4 linked regions of the Caenorhabditis elegans genome follow. The protein of the gene in region 2 interacts with the protein of the main gene of each other region in a pairwise test. Each region holds a gene or a part of one and is shown on either strand. Other genes may lie near its edges.

Region 1 (4,701 bases), on a different chromosome or scaffold from region 2:
TTCATATCCGCCAATTTGCCGATTTGCCGAAAAGTTTCAATTTTGGCAGTTGCCGATTTGCCAAAAAGTTTCAATTTTGGCATTTGCCGATTTGCCGGAAATTTTGAAATCAGGCAATTTGCCGATTTACCGATAGGCCGAGCATTTTCAAATCCGGCAATTTGCCGATTTGCCGGAAATTTCAACTCCGGCAGTTTGCCGATTTGTCGGAAATTCTATTTTCGGCAATTCTCCAATTTTCCGATAAGTTTCAATTTTGGCAATTGCCGATTTGTCCATTTGCCGGAAATTGTCCAATCCGGCAATTTGCCGATTTTCCGGAAATTTCAATTTCGGCAGTTTGCCGATTTGCCAAAAAGTTTCAATTTTGGCAATTGTCGAATTGCCGGAAATTTTGAAATCAGGCAACTTGCCGGAAATTTTCAATTCCGGCAATTTTCAATTCACGCAGTTTGCCGATTTGCCAAAAAGATTCAATTTTGGCAATTGTCGATTTGCCGGAAATTTTGAAATCAGGCAATTCGCCGATTTACCGATAGGCCGAGCATTTTCAAATCCGGCAATTTGCCGATTTGCCGGAAATTTCCACTCCGGCAGTTTGCCGATTTGCCGGAAATCAATTCGAAATACAACTCCCCAATTATTCCAGAATACCTCGAATGTATCAAACAAATGATCGCCACTGATATGAACAAATCGCGAAGCGAAGTGATGGCGGAGCTCGGCGAAAAAGTGTCAAAGGTGCTGCTCTACCAATTTGTGCGCGGAAATTTGGGTGAAGATGTGAACGGAAAAGCTCATTGGATATGCAATCTGAATGTTATCGATGAGACATACATTTATCTGCTCAGCCACGACATTCGGTTCGGAGTTTTCGATGGTCCGACTCTGTTCCAGCGGGCTCCTGGCTCGGGATTCCTTCCGGCGGCTCATAAGAATCGAGTAGAGAAAATGTTCCCAATGGTAAGGAAATATAAGGTTTTCGACTAGTTTGATCTTTAAAAATGGCGGGAAAATAATCTAGAAGGGTGTGAAGACAAGCAATAGGCTAAAAATCGATAAATTTTGAAAAATAAGCTCAAAAATTCAAATTCACAGGTGCAATTCGCCGAAACTGCCTGGTCGAACCACTGGATTCATGCTGATGACCCGAAATTCTTTGTCGACTCGATTTGCGAGTTCCTGGAGGAACCTGATCAGCTTGGAATGAGAGCTTACATTTAAATTATGAAATTTGACATGGAATTCCAGCAGTTTTAGCAGTTTTTCCTCAATTTATTCGATAAATTTCTTGAATTTTACATAATTCGTTTATAATAAATGGGTTTTCTCTTATTATTCGTTTGAAAAATTGCGTTTTTGGCCTGCAAAAATATTCTAATTTGAATCTCCCTCGCTTTTCACGAAACGCGCCAACCAGTGGTTGCTGGCGCGTTTCTCGTGAGCTTGCGCGAACGCTGCGCATTTCTTTTTTTCTCATTTCTCATCTTTTCTGCGTAAAATTATCCAATTTTTCTCTTTTTTTTTAAATTTTTCACGCCAAATTAAGAATTTGCTTACGTGGCAATCGTTTGAACCGCCTAAAAAAAAGCCCGTTATTTTCGTCGAAAATCATGTTGTCGCCGAGTTGGTGTTTTATCGATTTTTTTCCACCGAAAATTTTCGATTTTCAGAGCAAAATATGCCGTTGGAAAGCGGAAAATTGATCAATGACTTGCGTGTTAGTGAATTGAAGGTAAGTGAATCATTTTTTCCACTGGAAATTCCCTATAAAATGCACTTTTTGCAGACAGAGCTCGAGAAGCGTGGTTTGAGTACTCAAGGAGTCAAGGTTGTGCTCACTGTTCGTTTGAATAAGGTAAAAATGTGTGATGTATTTATTTATCGTCGAATCTCCTGTCAAAATTGAAAAATTACAAAAAAAAACAATTTATTTGAAAAATGCAATAAAAGTCCACGTTGCTAGTTGCTACCAGTGTCCGATGGAGGGCAAAGCTGCAAAAAAATCGATATATAAATTCGGTTTCCCACCAATTGAAAGCGATACTTCTCGAATTTCCGGCCCAACTTTCCCGGAAAAAAGAAAAAGGGCTCCCCTCCCCCCATAAATTGTGCATTCTATTCACCACTTGTGTGATCAAATTAGCGTCTCAAAATGCATAGAAAAAGGGCGCTGGCTAATGAGATGAACGGAACTTGAAGAAGAATTGGCTGCTTTTTTTCCGGCGAAAATCCATTTCCAACGGCTCAGACATTTTCGAGCTCCCCTTGTGAGCACACACGTTCCGGTGGAAGAGCACGTAAAAGCGGGGGGAAAAGAAGATGAAGCCGCCCGTGATTTGATTTGAAGGGAAAATTGGAAGAAGAAGAAGAAGGAAAAAGCTTTTAAGCGGATAGAGACAAAGTTCCCTTTTGTTCACCTCACCAACTTCCGGGAAAAGTGGCGTTACTGGACGAATTGTGGGGGTTTCTACAAGCTAATGCAATGAAAATGACGAATTTTGAAGGAAAAATCAACTAATTTGATGTTAGCAGGGAAATTTTCCGACGTTTAGTGTTTTTTTTTTCACAAAAAAAATGATTTCCTAACATCAAATTAGACCAATTTCAATTCAAAATTCGATATTCTCAGCTCTAACTTTTTTCATCGTCAATTTCCTACCTTTGGCTGTCGATGGAAAACAAATTGAGAATGATGAATAAATTGCGAGTCATCTTTCGCCGCATGTTTTGGCATCTCGGACGGCGCAAATGTGTTGGAATGAATAAGTCGGTAGCCGGAAGACGCGAGTTGGTCGAACGCTTTCTCTAAGTTGCTGTGTTTTAGGAAGAATCTGGAAAGAGAGGATTGGGTTGAAGCTTTGAAATCTGGTTAACTTGTCATTTGGTAGTGCTGAAATACCAATCGTTCTGCTCAAATATTATGTTTCAAAAAGAGCTTATGAGCTCTTCTTGTGAAACTGTCGATTTCCGCTAGTGTACTCCCCCGTGTGGTGTGATCTACAAAAAATGCGGATATTTTTCCCCAAAAAAATTTCACGTCAGCACGCATTTTTTGTAGATCAAACGGAGACGGAACATTTTTTAATGGTTCAGAAATCAGCTATTATAGCTAGAAACTGTAAATTTCGCGTAAATCTACATGACGGGTTTTCAGTATTTCTGGCCGCGAAAAAGCCTGTCTCTACCTAGAAGTGTAGCGATCCATCTCGAAATCCGTGCCTCCTCCGTCTCTACACTCGTTCAACGAATCGCCGAACACTGCTCGGCACATGATTACTTTTCCGGATACGACGATTCGTAGAACCTGAAAATATCCTTTTTCTCGACGTCAAAAATGATGAGCATTTGTCTGTGTGTGTCTCTCTTCTCTTAACATACATATTCCCCTATTGCTGTATTCATAAGCAATAATAGGGGAAAATTGATGGGAGAAAACCGCAAGAGAAATGAACAGAAAAAAGGAAAAAAAAACGAGAGCAGGAAAAATGGGCTTGTTGTTGTTCCCTTTACTGGTTCGGGATTTGATGACGCGAAAGCTTTTCCTGTTGTTTTTTGAGCCATAAAATGGATATTGTGTACCTTTCGAAACGTGACTTCTGGATTGATACGTCCGGTTGAGAGAGCCGCATGACAAGAGATGCTAATGGTTGACGGGCAGGCGGCCTCCACAAATGAAATGAGCCCAAGACGTTTGGCCTGGAATAAAGAGCAGCGATTCTTGGTTTCGGTGCATTTCCTGCTTTATCGTGAACACACGTGATGCCAGGCTGTCCCATCACGGTTTGATCTACAAAAAATGCGGGAATTTGTTGTCCAAAAATATGTGGCATCAGCACGTTCTTAACCATACGAAATCAGTTGAGAATTCTGTGTCTCTTCTCCCGCATTTTTTGTAGATCTATGTAGATCAATCCCATATGAGACACTCTGACACCACGCGTGAACGTTCAATTTTCCCACGGCAAGATTATGCCAAGATCTTATTCTGCGTTCAAGGATGATCGAATTCACTACCAGAAAGCTTAATAGTGTGTTCCCCAAGTAAACGATAATTTTTTTTTGAAATTTTGTCCTAAAATATCCAAAATAGGAGTTTTGAGACAATTTTGAGCATTTTTGAGCATTCTAGCTCCCATTTTCGCCAATCAATCTGGTAATTGAGCTTAGGGGGAATTTTTATGCTGGGGAACGAAAAGCTAAATTATGCATTTCCACGGTGAAATGCTCATTATCCTAATTGAGCTCCATCTAGAAATGACAGAATTATGGGATTTTTTTAAATCTCGTATAGCTCTTTCTCATTTCGGAATCCATAAATCCAAAGCAGCCGAGCTCTTACAAAAAGCTTCCATTAACTGCTCGCGGAGCCCATAGACTCACCTCAACGGCCAATCGGGCCCACTGATCGAAAGATTCGGAGACGATAATGCTCATGTCACTGCGACGAAGCGCCTCGACGAGGATCCGCACAATCTTGTCATCTGAATCAGACGTTGCGTCGGGCGAAGTGGCGAGCAACGATTGTGGAGCACGTTGAAGTGTGGCACGAGTCGTTGAAATTGTTGCTCCGTGAGCACAAATAATTTGTGCAACTTGCATGTATGTGTGTGTGCGTTCACTTCTTCGTTTATCTCTAGTGTTTGTTAGCAGAAAGAAAGAAGAAGAATAGGAGGCAAAAGAGGACGTCAAAGACTCTTC
Region 2 (4,432 bases):
CATAATATCTATATTACTGTAACTTGTTGTGTTTTCAGTTAACCGAAACAATTTCTGCTCTCCAATCAAAGTTGTATGACGTTCAATCAGAACTGGAAGATACCAAACAGAAGCTAGTCGAGGCTGAAAATTCGGCTTCAGGATGGAATGATGATGATGCGTGGAACAAAAATGAAAATGAAATTGAAGAAGTAAAGAAGGCATTGGAAATCGAGATTTCAAATAGGAATGATACTATTGTGAAACTTCAAAATCTTGTCTCTAATCTACGGCAACAGCTTATCGAGGCATCCGAATCGGCTGATCTGAAGTCTCTGGAAGAGTTGGAACAGTTAAAAGAAGAACTTCGCATTGTTTCGGAGCAGAATGGATTGCTTAAGGATTCGGAAGCTCGATTATTGGATCACGCTGACGAGTTCGCCGTTCAAATGGACAAGTATCGTGAGAAATGCGAAGTTCTGACAGCAAAAATTGCAGAACTGGAAGCACAACTTCAGAATCCTGCTGAAGAAGATCAACAGCAGAAGACATCAAACGTCGAGCTAGTCAAGCTGAGGTGAGTTAAATCTTTTTAACGTTTAAATGAATTGGTGTATAGAACGAAATTTTATTTTAAACTAAAGTATTTGATAGCATGTTCCGGACATGTGAAAATCGAAAAAATAAAGTAACACACAATCAGAAAATTAAATATAGATTTATATTAATATTATTTCAGACAACAACTTGCAAATGCTCAACAGGATATGCGAGTTCAAAATCTGACGATTTCTGATCGTGAAGGTCTTATCGCGGAGTATCGTCATCAAATTGCCGAGCAGACCAAGACAATTGAAGAACTTCACTTGAAACTAAAAACCTTCTCAGCGGCGGCTCGTCGAACTTCTCCACGAGTGCCAATGTCATCGAATGTACCAGCTCTCTCATCCCGCCCATCATCCAGAATGTCAACGTCGTCACGAATCTCAACCGCGTCTTCGTTTGTGCCAGAATCCGTGGCAGTACCACTACAATCAACTGGATCAGCGTTTGATGTCGTCGTACGACAGGTATAAATTTAGCTTTTCATATGATTTCCAGATGCCCAAAACCTAATTGATCACGTTTTCAAACTTAAATTCTTCTGAAAATGTTATCTATGTTACCTTCAAACATTTTTTATGGCGACATCTAAAATAGTGGTATTTCGAAAAAAAATCTCATTGTACATTCGGCCGATATCGGATGCGATACACAAAACCAAGTAATCAATATTACTTACAGAGTGGCGAGCCTCTTCGACGTCGTAACAAATAGATGAGATGACCCCTGTACGTTGCCCGTGGAGAGTGTGGTTCACTGTTTCTTCCAACACTACAAATCTCCAACATACCATTCATTTGCATTCGGTGTTTTCTCCCTCCCTCTTCTCGTTTTTAATCTTTTTTACTTTTATTCTAGGTCTGTCAGTTCTGTAGGATCCCTAATTAAGTAACTTTTCCTCAAGTATTTTTTAATGTATATTCGTAGATCTGCTAAACCTAAATTGAATCGATAATTTTTGGAAACCTTCTTTTCGAGTCGATAATATACATGAGCGTTCTGTTTTATAGTTTTCATCCAGATGACTTGCCCATACGTCATCGTCAAGAGATGACTGATTAATTTATTATTTTTTACATCCAAAGTGCCTTGATATCGGTAGCTAATCGAGTTTTTTGAAGGGTTTTCATTTGTTTTCTTGTTTATAATGCACGAATTGTATGGAAATGATTGTAGTTATGATATTATAAGATATGAATACGGTTTCATTTAACTTCTTTTTTTTAAATCTGTTTTAGTGCAAGGATTTTGGATTTTCAGAGAGTAATGTCAGGAATCAAACCAAGTGTTTCAAAAGGAGAAAGTCAAGCACCGCAAACAAGACAATTGGAAGGTAAACATTTTTGAAATCACAGTGTTTCATAACAGGAATGATATTATTTCTGACGTTTTTTTTTGTATAATTAATCGAAGCTGTCACATCGCCTCGCGCACGCGTGTATGATAGGTTCCATTCGCAATTTGTTCCTGGAAAATTACGGAGAATGAAAGAAAAAGTGTGACGTCATGCGGGTTTTTCTACTTGCGTTTTATGTATCCCGTCTGAAAATCTGAAACATCGATAGTCACGCAGTCCTCTGAATACTTTTCCTCGTGAATGTATATTAAATTTCAGCGTCTAAGCCTACAGTTCAAGGAATAATTGATATTCTTCATGATACCATAAGCTATGTCCAAGTTGAGAAACAAAGTAAAACTATTAATTTTTCCATTCCTCATTTGCAAATGATTAAAGAACAGCTTGAAAGTATTCAATTAAAAGATAAAAACTACAAGGATTTGGAAAAAAAGTTCAATGAAAAACAGGATGAACATTTGGAAACGTAAGTATACTGTTTTTTCGTAATTTTTGTAAGATTAAACTTGTTTCAGAATCCAGAAGTTAGATTCAACACTCAGCCGTCAGAAGCTTAAGTATGATGATATGAGACAGGCACTTTCTGTAAAAATCTATACACTCGAGAATGAATGTTCCAATTTGCAAGACAACTATGCTGACTTGCAAAATGATTTTGAAGTTCAAATTGAAAAATTCAAAAAACTTCAAAACTTGAAAAGTATTCAAAATCACGAGAATTCAAAAAATGTGAATCCTCTAACATTGGATGAGCTCACCGAACAGTTGAAACAATTCAAAGAAGAACTAAGTATTGATCAGAAACTGAAAAATATTCAGTTAACTTGTGAAGGACTACAGTCAGCTGTTGGAAATTTTGAAATGAATTCGAAAAAAGCTAAGGAAATTGAAATTCTTAAAATGGATATAAAGAAGACACAAGAGCTCTATGAATCAAGGTAACTATGTTTATCTGTATAGTCGACCGAAAACATAACATGCACTGCCATCGAGATATAGTAATCTGTTTGGCAGTGTAAGAACAAACATTTTATGTTTCGTAATTACTTTTTCCAGACTGCTCAGGGCTGCTCAAGAAAACAAGAAACTGCTCAGAAAAAACGATACATTGAAAAACTATCTTGATAATCAAACAGCGAAAATTGGAGAGCTCACAGCTGGAAACAAAACAGAGAATCGTTCACCAACTCCAACATTGCAGGGACTTATTGAAATTCTTCAAAAGTTTTCAGACGATCAAAAACTTGAACCAGAATGTAAGATGCTGCAGTTGCATAAAGAGGAGTGTCGTTTGATTTTGGAAAGTCTTGAAGTGCACGATAAGAAAGATCAAGAGATTCAGTGGTTCCAAAGACAAATTAACGATCAGAAAAAAAGGTAAGTTTTGACGAAACATTTATATTTTGTTGATCTTAAAAACACATAAAAATTATTACAGAATCGCTAATCTTGGTTGGTCATACGAAAATGCTCTTGAAGATAAGGATGCTCTAGAATTAAAGCTTGAACATCAATACGAGCAGATGATGGAATTGAAAAAGAATTTCATTCCGAAAAACGAAATTTCTGAGGATTTGGCGAAGACTGTCAGAAATTTTGGAAAACGTCTCAGAAATTCTCGAGGAAATTTGAAGAATGCGTTCAAAGAATTAGAAGCTTTAAAAGAAGTTCAAGAGGAAGAAGGCTCATCAGATGAAAGTTCTGAAAGCAGCGCTTCTGATGATTTACCAGATGGTGACAGCTCGTCAGAGGAATAGCATCGAATCAGAAAATTGAGATTTCATTGAAATTAAATGTACCTTCTTACAATGACTAATATTTTAAAAAATTTTAACTATTCACAAATCAACGATTTTCTTGTTATTCGCTCTACGATATATCATGATTTCCCATTTATCCGACTTTCTCTTTGTTTTCAAATTTTCTTGATTATTCTGATTAACTTTACACTGTTCCAACTGTTCTTGTTTCTGAAATAAAATCTTCCAATAAGTCCTTCCAAGAACCAAAGACAAACTTATGTATAAAAAATGTCACAATTATAACAGCTGCGGACGAGCCCGAACAGGTTGAAAGTCTTTCTCAACCTGTGGACAAATGACGGTCCAACAGCCGGTAATGGACCTAAGACGGCCTTCAGTTTGCCCGCTATAAAACCGTACGTATTAGCCAGCGGTGGGCCACTTTTCACTGTTGCCGCTTCAAATTTGTCATGGCTTGGAATGGATAGAAGATTGTTGAGACGATGGGTATATCAGATTTCTTATTCTGTTCGTAAAGTCTGGATCATTTTGAGATTATTCTGCGTCTAATGATACAATTATCTTATTTATGTTCCTCGAGGGTGTCATTTTTCCATGCTATCGATTTTTTAGACAATCATAAATGTTGTTAGGTTGACCGAAGGCGCTGGAAGATGATGAACATGCCCTAAATTTTTGACTTTTGACAAGCCAAAGTTTACATTTCTGTTCATTAGATCTTTGAAAGCAA
Region 3 (4,880 bases), on a different chromosome or scaffold from region 2:
GTGGGGAATGTGTAAAATAATTCCTATGCTGTGACCAAATGACTAAATGTCATAATAAAATTGTCAAAAAATTTGGAAATTATGGAATTTTTCTTCGATTTTTTGACTTAATTATGTTTAAAATACTTATATTCCAACATTGTGGAGATTCAAACATGCGACAGTGATTTAGATTTTTCAAATTTGACTCGAAATAAAAAATTCCAAAATTTTTTGAAAATCTTTATAACGAGATTCGGTAATTTCAACAGCATATGAATAGTTTTTAATAATTTCCCCATTAGTCGTAGTCCACTTTTAACTTTAATTAATAATTAAAACCATTAAGGTTTAAAACCGAATTTCAAAAAAAAATTTCGATATAGAAGACTAAGAATAAAATATAACTTTAAAGAAAGAAGTTATGAAAGTTTTTGTGAGTAAAATGAGTACCAATGTGTATTTTGGGAGGCACGGGGTTGGTGATGAACATTATGTGTTGTATTACGCATGCCATAGACCAGTTTTGCGCGGATTGCATGATCAAGTCGATTGACTTTTCGTCTTTTTCGATTAAATTGATAACCGATCCAGAATAATACTTATATAATTTCATTGAATTACAAAATTCAAATGAGTTAGTAAAAAACTAGAACATTCAGTAAAATTTCAAAGCTATTTGCAAACCACAAACTTGAAATTTGAAAAAAATCAAACATGGAAACTCTAGACAGTGTACACAGGACAAATTACACTGATTAATCTATATCAACTCGCCAAGTTTACAAAATTTCGTCGAAAAACTGATAAGCACATGCAAAAATTCGTGTGAATTGGCTCTAGATAGAAAAATATGAATTGGCTCTAGATAGAAAAAATAACTAAATCGATAATGTTTCGTGTCGTTTTCGATGTATTTTTATGGCTCGCTATCGGCAGCAGCTACCGCTTGTGGCTGTTGTTGGGCCCCTTTTTGACGAATTAGGTGAAGAGAATCGAACGGAAATGAAAATTTATATGAACACAGAGTGGAAGAGTGGTGAGAGAGAGAGAAAAGAACGAAAAGCAGGTGGAATCAACAATGAAAGTGCAAACAATTGTGCTTATAAACAATTTGGATTTGGATTTTTTTTCAACAATTTTTAAAAATTCTATTACGATGAGAAGTAAGAAATATGAATGGAATAAATAGAAGTCTGAACAAATTTTTTTGAAAACGAAAAATTGAACATTTTGTTACGAAGCGTTTTCAGGTTCTAAAGTATTATTTTTTAGGAAAAAACATTAAAAACGTCCCAGTAATCTACTTTTAATAATTTTGAACTAATTATTGAGTAACATTTAGTTTTAAAAGTTTAGAAAAAGCATGGACACTGAAAATTAAAAAAAAACATGTTTAAACAGAGAAAAAAATTTGAAAGATTAAAGGAGCGCGCGATTTGTAGCATGAGGGTCTGCCACGAATTCTACAGTTGTTCAGATCATTTTTTTTGAATTATTCCACAATCTTTCTTCTCTTTGGAATTTAATTTTTCTCGAAAGTTATTTAATTTTTCTATAAAAATGTGCATTGCAGTTTTAAAATGTTTTTTTTTTCAATTAAACGCATGAATGTGATTGGTACACGCGTGAGACGCAAGTTCTCGAAAATCTGCGATTGCGAAAGGCAAAAGTATTCATTTTTTCGAAAAAATAAACAAATTGCTCAAACTAAATTGAATATCGATCGTCTTTGCCCTCAATATTTTAAATATCACGCTTTTGAAAATTATTTCGAAATAAATATTCAGTTTCAGTGAGACTCATTCAATTGAACCTGATCACGTGCTGAAAGTCTGCTGTAACAATGAAGGTTTGTTCGTTTTCCTATCTCTACTTTAATTAAAAATAGTGTTAAGAGTAATTGTTCATTCAAATAGATTTTTTTTCATTCAGTAAAAAATGATTAAGTTTTCGGAAAGGAAGAAAACAAAACAAAAACATAGAAAAAAGTGTGCACGAACGAACACACAAAGCATATGCGTCAGTGTCTTAACCCGTCTAATGTCTCTTCATCCCCCTACACTCTCTCTTTCAGTTCACCCGACTAACACATTCAACAAGCAAACCCGTTATTGATTCAATTTTCTTTCGTAATATTCCTTTTTTATATTTTCAGAAACAAAAGTCATTTCCAATGTCTGCTTATGAGGATTTGCTCGGAAAAATCACTGCTCCAACTATCACTGTTGAGAATTGGGAGGGAATTCTCGCATTTTGTGATATGGTTCGTTCAATTTGTTTTAAAAAATGTATAAACCTTTTCACTGATTTATAGATAGAATTCTTTGTCGTTTGATAAAAAATCATATTTTAAAATTAAAATTTCCTCCTTAAATTTGCTAGCTGATTTTCACCGAAAATCATTGATTTTGGACTAAACTTAATGTTTTAGTTTAAAATTTTCAGATTAATAACGACTTCGAGGGATCGAAAACAGGAATCAAATCACTTCGTAAACGTCTCAACAATCGTGATCCTCATGTTGTCCTTCTAGCGATTTCTGTACTTGATTCGTGTTGGGCAAACTGTGAAGAAAGATTCAGAAAGGAAGTATCGTCTGCACAATTTATCAATGAACTCAAAGCTCTTTGTACATCGGTGAGTTTTTGTTTAAATCTGAAATTGTTAAACAAAATATCAAAATTTCTTTCATGAAGTTTTGTATTTCTTTAATAGATATAGTATACGCAGAAAAGAGATAAAAAAGAGAAATAGAGTTAGAAAAATAAGTATAATACGAAAATACGATACATTTCACCGCGTTTACAAAAAAAAATACAAAAATTTACAATTATTATAGAGTCAACGCCAAGTTGCTGAAAAAATGCGATTAACTGTTCAAAAATGGGTGGATACAGAATGCAAAACTGAACAATCACTGTCACTTATCGTCACTCTTCACAAAAATCTTGTTGCTGATGGCTACTCATTTGTTGTGGATGATCCAAAAAGTAAAACGAAAGCGATTGATGCAAAGTTTGCAAATGATCCGAATTATGTGAGTTGTGGAAGTTCGCGGCAATAAATATCAAAAATTAATAATTATTATAGGTTGGATCTGCTCAGGAAGAAGAAGCAATCGCAAAAGCCATTGCTGCTTCATTGGCGGATGCAGAGAAACAGGAAAAAGCAAAAAAATCAACATCCACAATGTATCCATCAGCAAAAGCAAGTAGTCCAGCAGTTCAGACTAATTCGAATATTCCGGAAAAGAATGTTCGAGCGTTATACGATTTTGAGGCTGCTGAAAGCAATGAATTATCTTTTGTTGCTGGAGATATTATTACAATTACTGATGAAAGGTAAGCAACAAAAATGTGTTCTAGTTTAAATTGAAAGCAATCGCTTAAAAATCAAATCAGGAAGTTCTTCAGTTTTTTTTTTTGTAATTTAAAATTAATCATACCGAACCTTTTCGTTACTGACTGCTTCTATCAATTATCAAAAAAAAAACAATTTTTTGCAGCAATCCCCACTGGTGGACTGGTCGTATTGGTACCCAACAGGGACTTTTCCCATCCAGCTTCGTTACTAATCAACTCGATGATCTAAAATCAAAAGAGACGGATTCATCACAGAAAGCCCCAGAAGTTGTAGCCTCAATTAATGAAGCAATCCTTGTTCGTTGTCTTCAAGTACTCCATGAATGTGATCCTACCGGTGAACGACAGGATCCAGAGGATTTGGCCCAACTAGAAGCCGCCTCGTATGCTCAAGGAAATCTCATTGATGCACATTTGGCTAGTATTGATCGACAGAGCAACTCTCTAGCACAAATCGATGTGGCTATTCGTGATGTGCTCGCACTTTATGATGATGCGATTCAGAAGGGAGGATTTCAGCATCAAAGTCAAGGAATGTACCAACAACCAATGCAACAGTACAACTATCAGCAACCAGTCAGTTTTTATTCAGAAAAAAATATTTAGAAAACTGAAATTTTTCATTCTAAGCTTCACGGTAATGCCTATCAATTCAAAAAATCGTATTTTTCAGCCAAACCGAGCATATTACCCACCTACCGGTCCTGTCCAACAACAGCAGCCACAACAATATCCTCCACAACACTATCCGGCTCCTGGAGCACAACCACAGTACGCATGCCCACCGAATTCTGTTCCCCAACCTCAACAACAGCAACAACAATGGCCTGCTCCGTCTTCACAGCCTCAACAATATTAACTTTTTGATTTGTTGTGAATATCACCTTTTCCTCCTTGAATCTGTAACTAGTTCCATTGATATTGTGATCACTTCTAACTTATTTTTCTCGATTCGCCACCCGTTTCTGTATAGTCTTTTGCTTCCTCGAGTTCTCGATAAGATAAAAATGAATTCTTTATTGAGTTTGAGGCAAATATTTATTATACACGAAAATAATCGGATAAATTGAGAAAAGGTAACAAAAATTACAAGAGGTCCGGATCAAAAGATGGCATTGAAATTGATGCATTGGCTGCTCGAATGGATCGTTTACCCCATCCACCGCCTCCCCATCCACCTCCACCCCATCCACCTCTTCCACCACCCCATCTTGATCCTCCCCATGGATCATTGTTTCCCCATCCACCACCTCCATTTCCACCCCATCCTCCATTATCTCCGAAATCGTCACGTCCCCAACCTCCACGTGGTGGTTGACGAGATGGATTAGTCTGACGAACTTGTGCAACTGGAGCAACTGATCCAGCTGTAGTTCCACACATTCTACGAAGCTCTGATTGAGTATAGCAACTGTTACAGCTTGATCTACAATTCTCAGCCATCCATGGATTTTTCTGACATTCACCGACACGAGCCCATCCGGCACATGATCTATGGTAGTCGACGCATGCTGAAATATATATTTTTTAATTATA
Region 4 (6,142 bases), on a different chromosome or scaffold from region 2:
TCGAAACACCCTAAAACAATTAAAGTCTCCAGAAGACACCTTAAAAAAGTAGAAAAATGGGCTGAATTTTTCTGAACAGAACTTTCGGTGCTGGAGCATTGCAGCCTACAACTTCGCATATCTTCGCTGAGTAGTTTCGAATAAATTGGAATGGATCTGAAGGTAGAATGAAAACTATTCCATGTGCTAATTTGTTCTTCAAAAGTAACCATTGGGATTTCCCGATATAAACTGTCAACATTGTAAGTGCATTGAGTCACAAAATGTCCATATAGTCTCACTTTCTCCCGAGTGATGAATAATCATTCGTCGTTCTCTTCTCATTTCATTTTGCGTCCCGATTCGCATCCAATACATATATCTTTTGATGGATTCGTAATATATAACCTAACTGATATCTCATATCACTTTTGATATCAACAAGAATTTCATATCTGGCCAAAGAGGGGAATCTCGAATTGGGATGGGATTATAGTAAACTGGAAGGGCAAAGAAAAAACATTGGTTTGATTGGAATTTGAAGCAGGTGGAGGGTTGGAAATGTTGCAAAATGTAGATTTGAAAGGATCTCAATTGAATTAATGAGAGCACAGCAGGTGGGATAGACTCAACAGTTTGTGGAATTCAAGTGTTTCCGGATGTAATTTGATCAAAAGTGGGTTCTTTGGAACATTTTAAGAGTTTTCATGGGGAAAATTAAAGTTTCTTCGGAAAATTGTTTTTATTATTTTCTTGCTTTTTACTAATTAATTATTTTAAGCAGATACTTTTACGCAGATAACTCACCTTTCTAAAAATTCAAGTTTGCAAGTTATAATCACTTGTAATCAAAAAATCAAAAAATCAGAGAACTTAAGAAATGCCAATTTCAAAATTTTTGCAGAAGTTGGCAGAAAGGTTGTCGCGATTTGTCGAGCTGCTTCTAGGGAATTTTGGTATGGACTACAGTGAAGTGCCAACAATCAACCATTTGCAAGCAAAATTGTCTGCCTTTGAAACGACAGACGCCTACCTCGTGCCTACTTGTAAAGTCTAGGTTAGCCATTCTCCATTTTGGTATTTTCAAGTTTTACTTACTGAAATGAAAGCGACCGTTTGTAAGTCGCAGTACACAAAATCTAATGATGTATGAAAGACGAGGGATGAGTGCAATTCTACCTATTCTAACTTTTCTGAAATAAAAAATTTTTTTGAACGTTTTAGCACATGAAAAGCGAAATTTTCAGAACAACGCTTATATCTCGGGTAGCAAATTAAGGTAAATGAATTCGCCAATCTACTATTAAACATTTGCTACAAAATAAAAATATTAAAAATGTTTTCTGAAGTTAAAAAAATTTTGAACTTTTTTGAAGATGAAATTGAACTAGAACTATTCTGTTTTCTATTAAAGAAATGAAGTGTTACGAAAACGTTATTGAATTTTTTGTTTCTGGCTTGATTTCAGCTTCTAGGAAAGTTCCAAGGATACATGTTTAGTCAGGCACCTGCATACGATGTCTACTCCTATTCTTTTCAAACATGTTCACGTGATAAATTTACCGGAAATTGATAACTTTTTCCGTGGTCTTTTAAAATTTTAAAATTCAAGAACTCAACTTTTTATTTTGCCCGTGGCATCCCATAAACTTGACCCCGGAGACGTGGTAGATGACGTCATCACAATGTTGCTGTGAAGTTTGGAGCTTTCAGTCTGAAATCATAACAACAATATTCTCTGTTCACTGTTTCTGTTTTCAAAAAATCCGAAACAATCATGCGAAAACAAAATCGTCCCAATCAAGTAAGTTTCAGAAGATTCTATTCAGTTTACTCATAATCTATGTTTCAGACGGCTCGAAAACAGATGCAAAATTTGACAGTCGAACTATTTGCAAGAGACAAAAATGCTCGCCGTCAACTTCTCAATGTGGCCCTCACTGCTACCCCACCACCTTCCGTCGAACCATCTTCTCCAACTCGTCCATCGGAACCGATCCCGCCACCGCTCCCTGAACCAATTCCGGAGCTTGTACAAATTCTACTCGCTGCCGAACCCAGTAAGATTTTAGAGGTTACTTTCAGTTTCTAAAATGCAATCATTTTCAGACAAGCCTTCCGTTCCGAAAAGATCAAACCGTAAGAAGCTGACATACAAGCAACCGCCAAGAAACTCGACCCCCCAAGTGCCTAAAGTTGCCGTCACTTTGCCCGTTCCCGAGCCCGTTCCCGAGCCCGTTCCCGAGCCCGTCCCAGAGTCCACTCCAGAGCCCATCTCAGAGCCCCTGCCAGTAGTTCAAGAAGAGCCAGCTTCCGACAGTTTGACGGTTCAAGATGAACAAATCGCTCAGGCTGAACCAGCAGTGGAGCCGGAAGAGCCAGTCGTTGTTGAGCATGTCGAGGTTGTCACCGCCTCAGAGGACCCAACTCTAGGTAAGAAGCTTGAGAAAAAAATCTGCGAAATATTACAAATTTATTATTGATCCGCCAAAAAGATAATTAATTGATCTCCAAGTTCAAGTTCTTATTTTGGAGAAAACTATATGCTGACAGCTTGTTTTAACTGTACTTCTCGTTTACAGAGTCCTCTCCTCCATCCGAGCCTCCATTGCTCACGACTCCAACTACTCCAATCGAGGATCCCGAGCCATATGTGACTCCGCCACCGTTGCAACGTGTCCCGTATAAAGCTCAACTGACGCACCTTGCCAACATTCGTGCCGTCACCGAATCGATGAACATTGCTGCAATTCCAGCTCATCATCAACAACACCAACCGCAGGAGCCAATGTCGTTTGCTGCTTGTGTTCGAAAGCAACCATCGATTGAGAGCATGAGTGTTTCCCCGTCGCCGTATGCCAAGTTTGATGGAAAGACCAGTCCATTCAATGTTGGAGGATTCAGCAATCCTGGGGGATTCGGAGGATTCAGTAGACTAGATCCGAGCAAGAACGTAAGTTTACTGTGATCACTATAATTTACGATGTGTGCATAATGCTTCTATGAGCACATTGAACAAATTGTGACCGATTGAGAGTCGCGGTGTGCGCATTTTTCCTTCATTGCGTCTGCAAAGTTCCAGATGGGCACATCGTAAATTAACTGTTTCATAAAAGTTTGTGAACTATTTTAAATTATATTTATTTTCAGGTGAATCCATTCGCTAATCGTAAACGTTTCAACTACGATTATGATTCATTACCAAGAGATTCCCAATCATCTAGTCGCTTCATGGATCGTTCTGATCTTTCGGATGGCTTCTCCCCCTTCAACTCAAAGCCAAACGGATTCACAAATCGTGTAATTCCTCGGGAGAGTGCCAGCTCAGGAATGCTTCCAAGTTGGTACAAGGGTAGATCATTCTCTGCTGCTAGCTCCCACTACCCATACAGCCAAAGATCTACTTCAACTGGACATTTCTCGTCATTCTCCAGACCATCTCAAAGCACTTCAATGAATATTCCATCTCATGGACATGTTGAGGAGCTCGATGGATTTCTTGCCGCCAGTGGCCAAACCAATCCTTTCTTCAAGAGAACGGACTTGAACATGAAGTAGGTCGACTCTTCAACTCGAATTAAACTTTTTAATTGTTTTTATGGCCATGTTTTGCCATTTTAATGAAGTTTTGTTATTAAAAAAAAAGTGTTTTTGATTCGAAATTGTGATTTTTGTCATTTTTCAGAAAAGAAAGATGGGCTAAAATAAAGGCTAAAAAGCGTATGTTGAGACGACCAGTTGAGGATCAATTTTATGAAGATCCGGATATTGAGGAGGAGATTCTTCATGGAAATGGAGTTATGCTCAATCAAATTGTTCAACAAAGTTCTGCTGGTAACTATGAAGACGCTGATCTACTTCGCAAATATCGTCGTGACGTGGCATTTGTTAAGGAACGAGTTCTCAATGCAATCGATGGTAATATTGATGGAATTCGTGATTTGAGATTCTTGTTAGCTTCTGTACAAACATATGGAAATATTGATGGAGAATGCATGTTGGCTGAAATGGCGATGAACGAGTTTTCATTATTCTCTGGAATTGTTGAAAAGTTTCATGCAATTGTTGGACCATGGATGCCTGAAAGTGAATCACATAGAAGACGCGCTTCTAGACATGCATTGGAGACTCATCGTATTCCACTTCAGAACAATTTTGCTACGATCACCAAGAAAAGGGTATAGTTTTTGAAAACATTTTCGGCTTGCAATTATTGTCTCGTAAAATACGAAAAAGTTTTGATTTGGGTCTCGCGATGACCGGGAATTACTTCATCTTAGTGCGCGCCTCTTTAACGAGTACGGTAGTTTTTGCGCTTGTTGTTCCTCAATTTAGTATAATTTTATTTTAACACACGTTCAAAACAAATAAAATTTCAGTTGGTGGAAGAAATTCTGGGACGTGTGGAGCCAAGTATCGCATGCCACCAGGGTGTCAAAGTTGGTTTGTACAGTGATGCGTGCAATGAAAAGACAAAAATTGATTTGAACATCAAGAACAACTTCAAGGATCCAGGAATGTTGTGTGATAAAAATGATCGTCGATTCATTCTTGTTCTTCAATCTGAACTTGATTTGATGGTGGACAGCATGAAGCATTTGGCAAATAATGTTGGATTTCATTATGATGGTAAATACCGTATATCTTCTATTAACATGGCCTCCCTATTAGACTTGCACTCCCTATTAGTATTGCCCCTCGGAGACCTTCCGAAAATTAGTATTGCACTCCCTATTATTCTTGCACTCTCTAATAGTCTTGCGTTAACTTTTTTGTATTGCAAACCCGTCTCGCTAATTTCAGGATTTCAACAACATTTTTTGCCTATTTTGCAACAGTTTTCACATCATTTCTACGAGATTGAAGTTTTTGAACTTATATGAAAATCAAATTTTCTGAATTTTTAAATATGATTCGAGCTTTTTCAGGAAAAAACTAGTAAGCTCAAAGTCAGAAAATGTTCTGAAAATTAGTATTGCACTCCCTAATAGTCTTGCACTCCCTATTAGTATTGCAAGCGGGAAGACCATCGAAAAATAGTATTGCAGCCATATTAATAGAAGAAATACGGTAATATACTTTATTGCACTTGACATGTAAAAATATGTACCATTTTCAGGTTTTCCAGTCACTCCCAACTGTTTTGTGATTGTTGAAGCATTCGTGGAAGCTATTTCTGACATTATGAATGAGAAAATTGACGTAGAAACCATGCGTTGGTTCAGTCTGCTCGGACAAAAAGTTGATGCAGAAGACGTAAGGATTTAATGAACTTCCATTGTTTTTTTTTACTTTATTTATTCAGAGTGTTTCTCCATGGGAAACTGGCACCGATTTCCATTGTGCTCGTCATTCGGAGCCAAAGAGCAATTTCTGTGCTTCGGTTACTGTAGGAAGAACGTGTTGCATCGTTTATCATGTCATTGGAAGTTTCTTCCGACGTTACCATCTCAAGAAGATTCCGACTGCACATCAACCGTCTAGCTCCAACTCGGTACAATAATATTTCGTAATTATAATTCCCCCTTTTTTGTGTTTTAATTGTTTCAATGAACGTTTTTCGTAATACGGCTATTTAATGTGAAACATTTATGATTAGTTCGCAAATAAAAAAATGAGATGATTATTAATTGGAAGAACACGTGTTTATCATTAGGCACGTTAAAAAATATTAGTTTAACACTTCACCTGAATAGGCATTTTCTAGATAAATAACATACAATAATGAGAACGTAGAAAATAACTGAAATGGGTTTCGCAATCATCCAAGTGGTGGGAAATCATCGTCTGTGAATGATGGTCCTTGTGGAACAACTGGCTTTTGAATATTTCCTGATCGTCTTTGTTGAACTCGTTCCTTTTGTGCTTGCCGTTTTGGTCGGCTCGGACGAGAATGCTTCAAAATTTTATCGGATCCTTTTTCTTTTGGTGGTCCTGGTGCTCCTGCTGATCCGACTGTGATGCTATTTTCAAAGTCGGTATAAGAAGGTTGGAAGACATTTGACATTCCATATGGGTCATAATTCAACCAATCAGCATTCTAAAATAAACGAATTGAAAAATCATTTTTGATTAAATAAAACTCACTTGGAAAGGTGGCTGAATCTCCATTAACATGCGAGCGAGCTCTTCTTGCTCTTTTTCAGACAATACAGCTAGAGGA

Evidence for each region.
Region 1: the proteins of T11B7.1 (region 2) and phm-2 interact in a two-hybrid assay, tested with the Caenorhabditis elegans proteins (one large-scale study listed by BioGRID).
Region 3: the proteins of T11B7.1 (region 2) and stam-1 interact in a two-hybrid assay, tested with the Caenorhabditis elegans proteins (one large-scale study listed by BioGRID).
Region 4: the proteins of T11B7.1 (region 2) and B0393.4 interact in a two-hybrid assay, tested with the Caenorhabditis elegans proteins (one large-scale study listed by BioGRID).

The regions. Positions count from the first base shown.
Region 1 is NC_003279.8:11,515,885-11,520,585, forward strand, and holds the start of phm-2 (Pharyngeal muscle protein 2), read left to right. Parts: upstream 1-1,673; 5' UTR 1,674-1,681; coding exon 1,682-1,735; intron 1,736-1,789; coding exon 1,790-1,858; intron 1,859-1,863; exon of another isoform or gene 1,864-1,962; coding exon of another isoform or gene 1,963-1,995; intron 1,996-2,662; coding exon of another isoform or gene 2,663-2,834; intron 2,835-3,188; coding exon of another isoform or gene 3,189-3,307; intron 3,308-3,582; coding exon of another isoform or gene 3,583-3,699; intron 3,700-4,089; exon of another isoform or gene 4,090-4,218; intron 4,219-4,383; coding exon of another isoform or gene 4,384-4,602; exon of another isoform or gene 4,603-4,701. Other genes in the region: abhd-11.1 (AB hydrolase-1 domain-containing protein), read left to right, coding at 650-963, 1,099-1,224; F32B4.5 (KCTD8/12/16 H1 domain-containing protein), read right to left, coding at 1,963-1,995, 2,663-2,834, 3,189-3,307, 3,583-3,699, 4,384-4,602.
Region 2 is NC_003282.8:8,838,877-8,843,308, forward strand, and holds T11B7.1 (Centrosomal protein of 162 kDa), read left to right. Parts: upstream 1-1,840; 5' UTR 1,841-1,848; coding exon 1,849-1,915; intron 1,916-2,197; coding exon 2,198-2,405; intron 2,406-2,454; coding exon 2,455-2,877; intron 2,878-2,995; coding exon 2,996-3,316; intron 3,317-3,377; coding exon 3,378-3,696; 3' UTR 3,697-3,929; downstream 3,930-4,432. Other genes in the region: T28C6.7 (Kinesin motor domain-containing protein), read left to right, coding at 39-556, 719-1,049, 1,264-1,296; T28C6.11 (uncharacterized protein), read right to left, coding at 787-1,007, 1,262-1,385.
Region 3 is NC_003279.8:5,901,585-5,906,464, reverse strand, and holds stam-1 (Signal transducing adapter molecule 1), read left to right. Parts: upstream 1-1,769; 5' UTR 1,770-1,825; coding exon 1,826-1,831; intron 1,832-2,137; coding exon 2,138-2,245; intron 2,246-2,427; coding exon 2,428-2,619; intron 2,620-2,821; coding exon 2,822-3,019; intron 3,020-3,072; coding exon 3,073-3,323; intron 3,324-3,487; coding exon 3,488-3,920; coding exon of another isoform or gene 3,921-3,950; intron 3,951-4,017; coding exon 4,018-4,203; 3' UTR 4,204-4,360; downstream 4,361-4,880. Other genes in the region: tyr-4 (ShKT domain-containing protein), read right to left, coding at 4,431-4,855.
Region 4 is NC_003281.10:4,759,143-4,765,284, reverse strand, and holds B0393.4 (Maelstrom domain-containing protein), read left to right. Parts: upstream 1-1,675; 5' UTR 1,676-1,756; coding exon 1,757-1,783; exon of another isoform or gene 1,784-1,831; coding exon 1,832-2,039; intron 2,040-2,088; coding exon 2,089-2,412; intron 2,413-2,561; coding exon 2,562-2,932; intron 2,933-3,129; coding exon 3,130-3,533; intron 3,534-3,664; coding exon 3,665-4,157; intron 4,158-4,358; coding exon 4,359-4,608; intron 4,609-5,098; coding exon 5,099-5,235; intron 5,236-5,284; coding exon 5,285-5,482; 3' UTR 5,483-5,605; downstream 5,606-6,142. Other genes in the region: fbxl-2 (F-box domain-containing protein), read right to left, coding at 5,741-6,019, 6,067-6,142.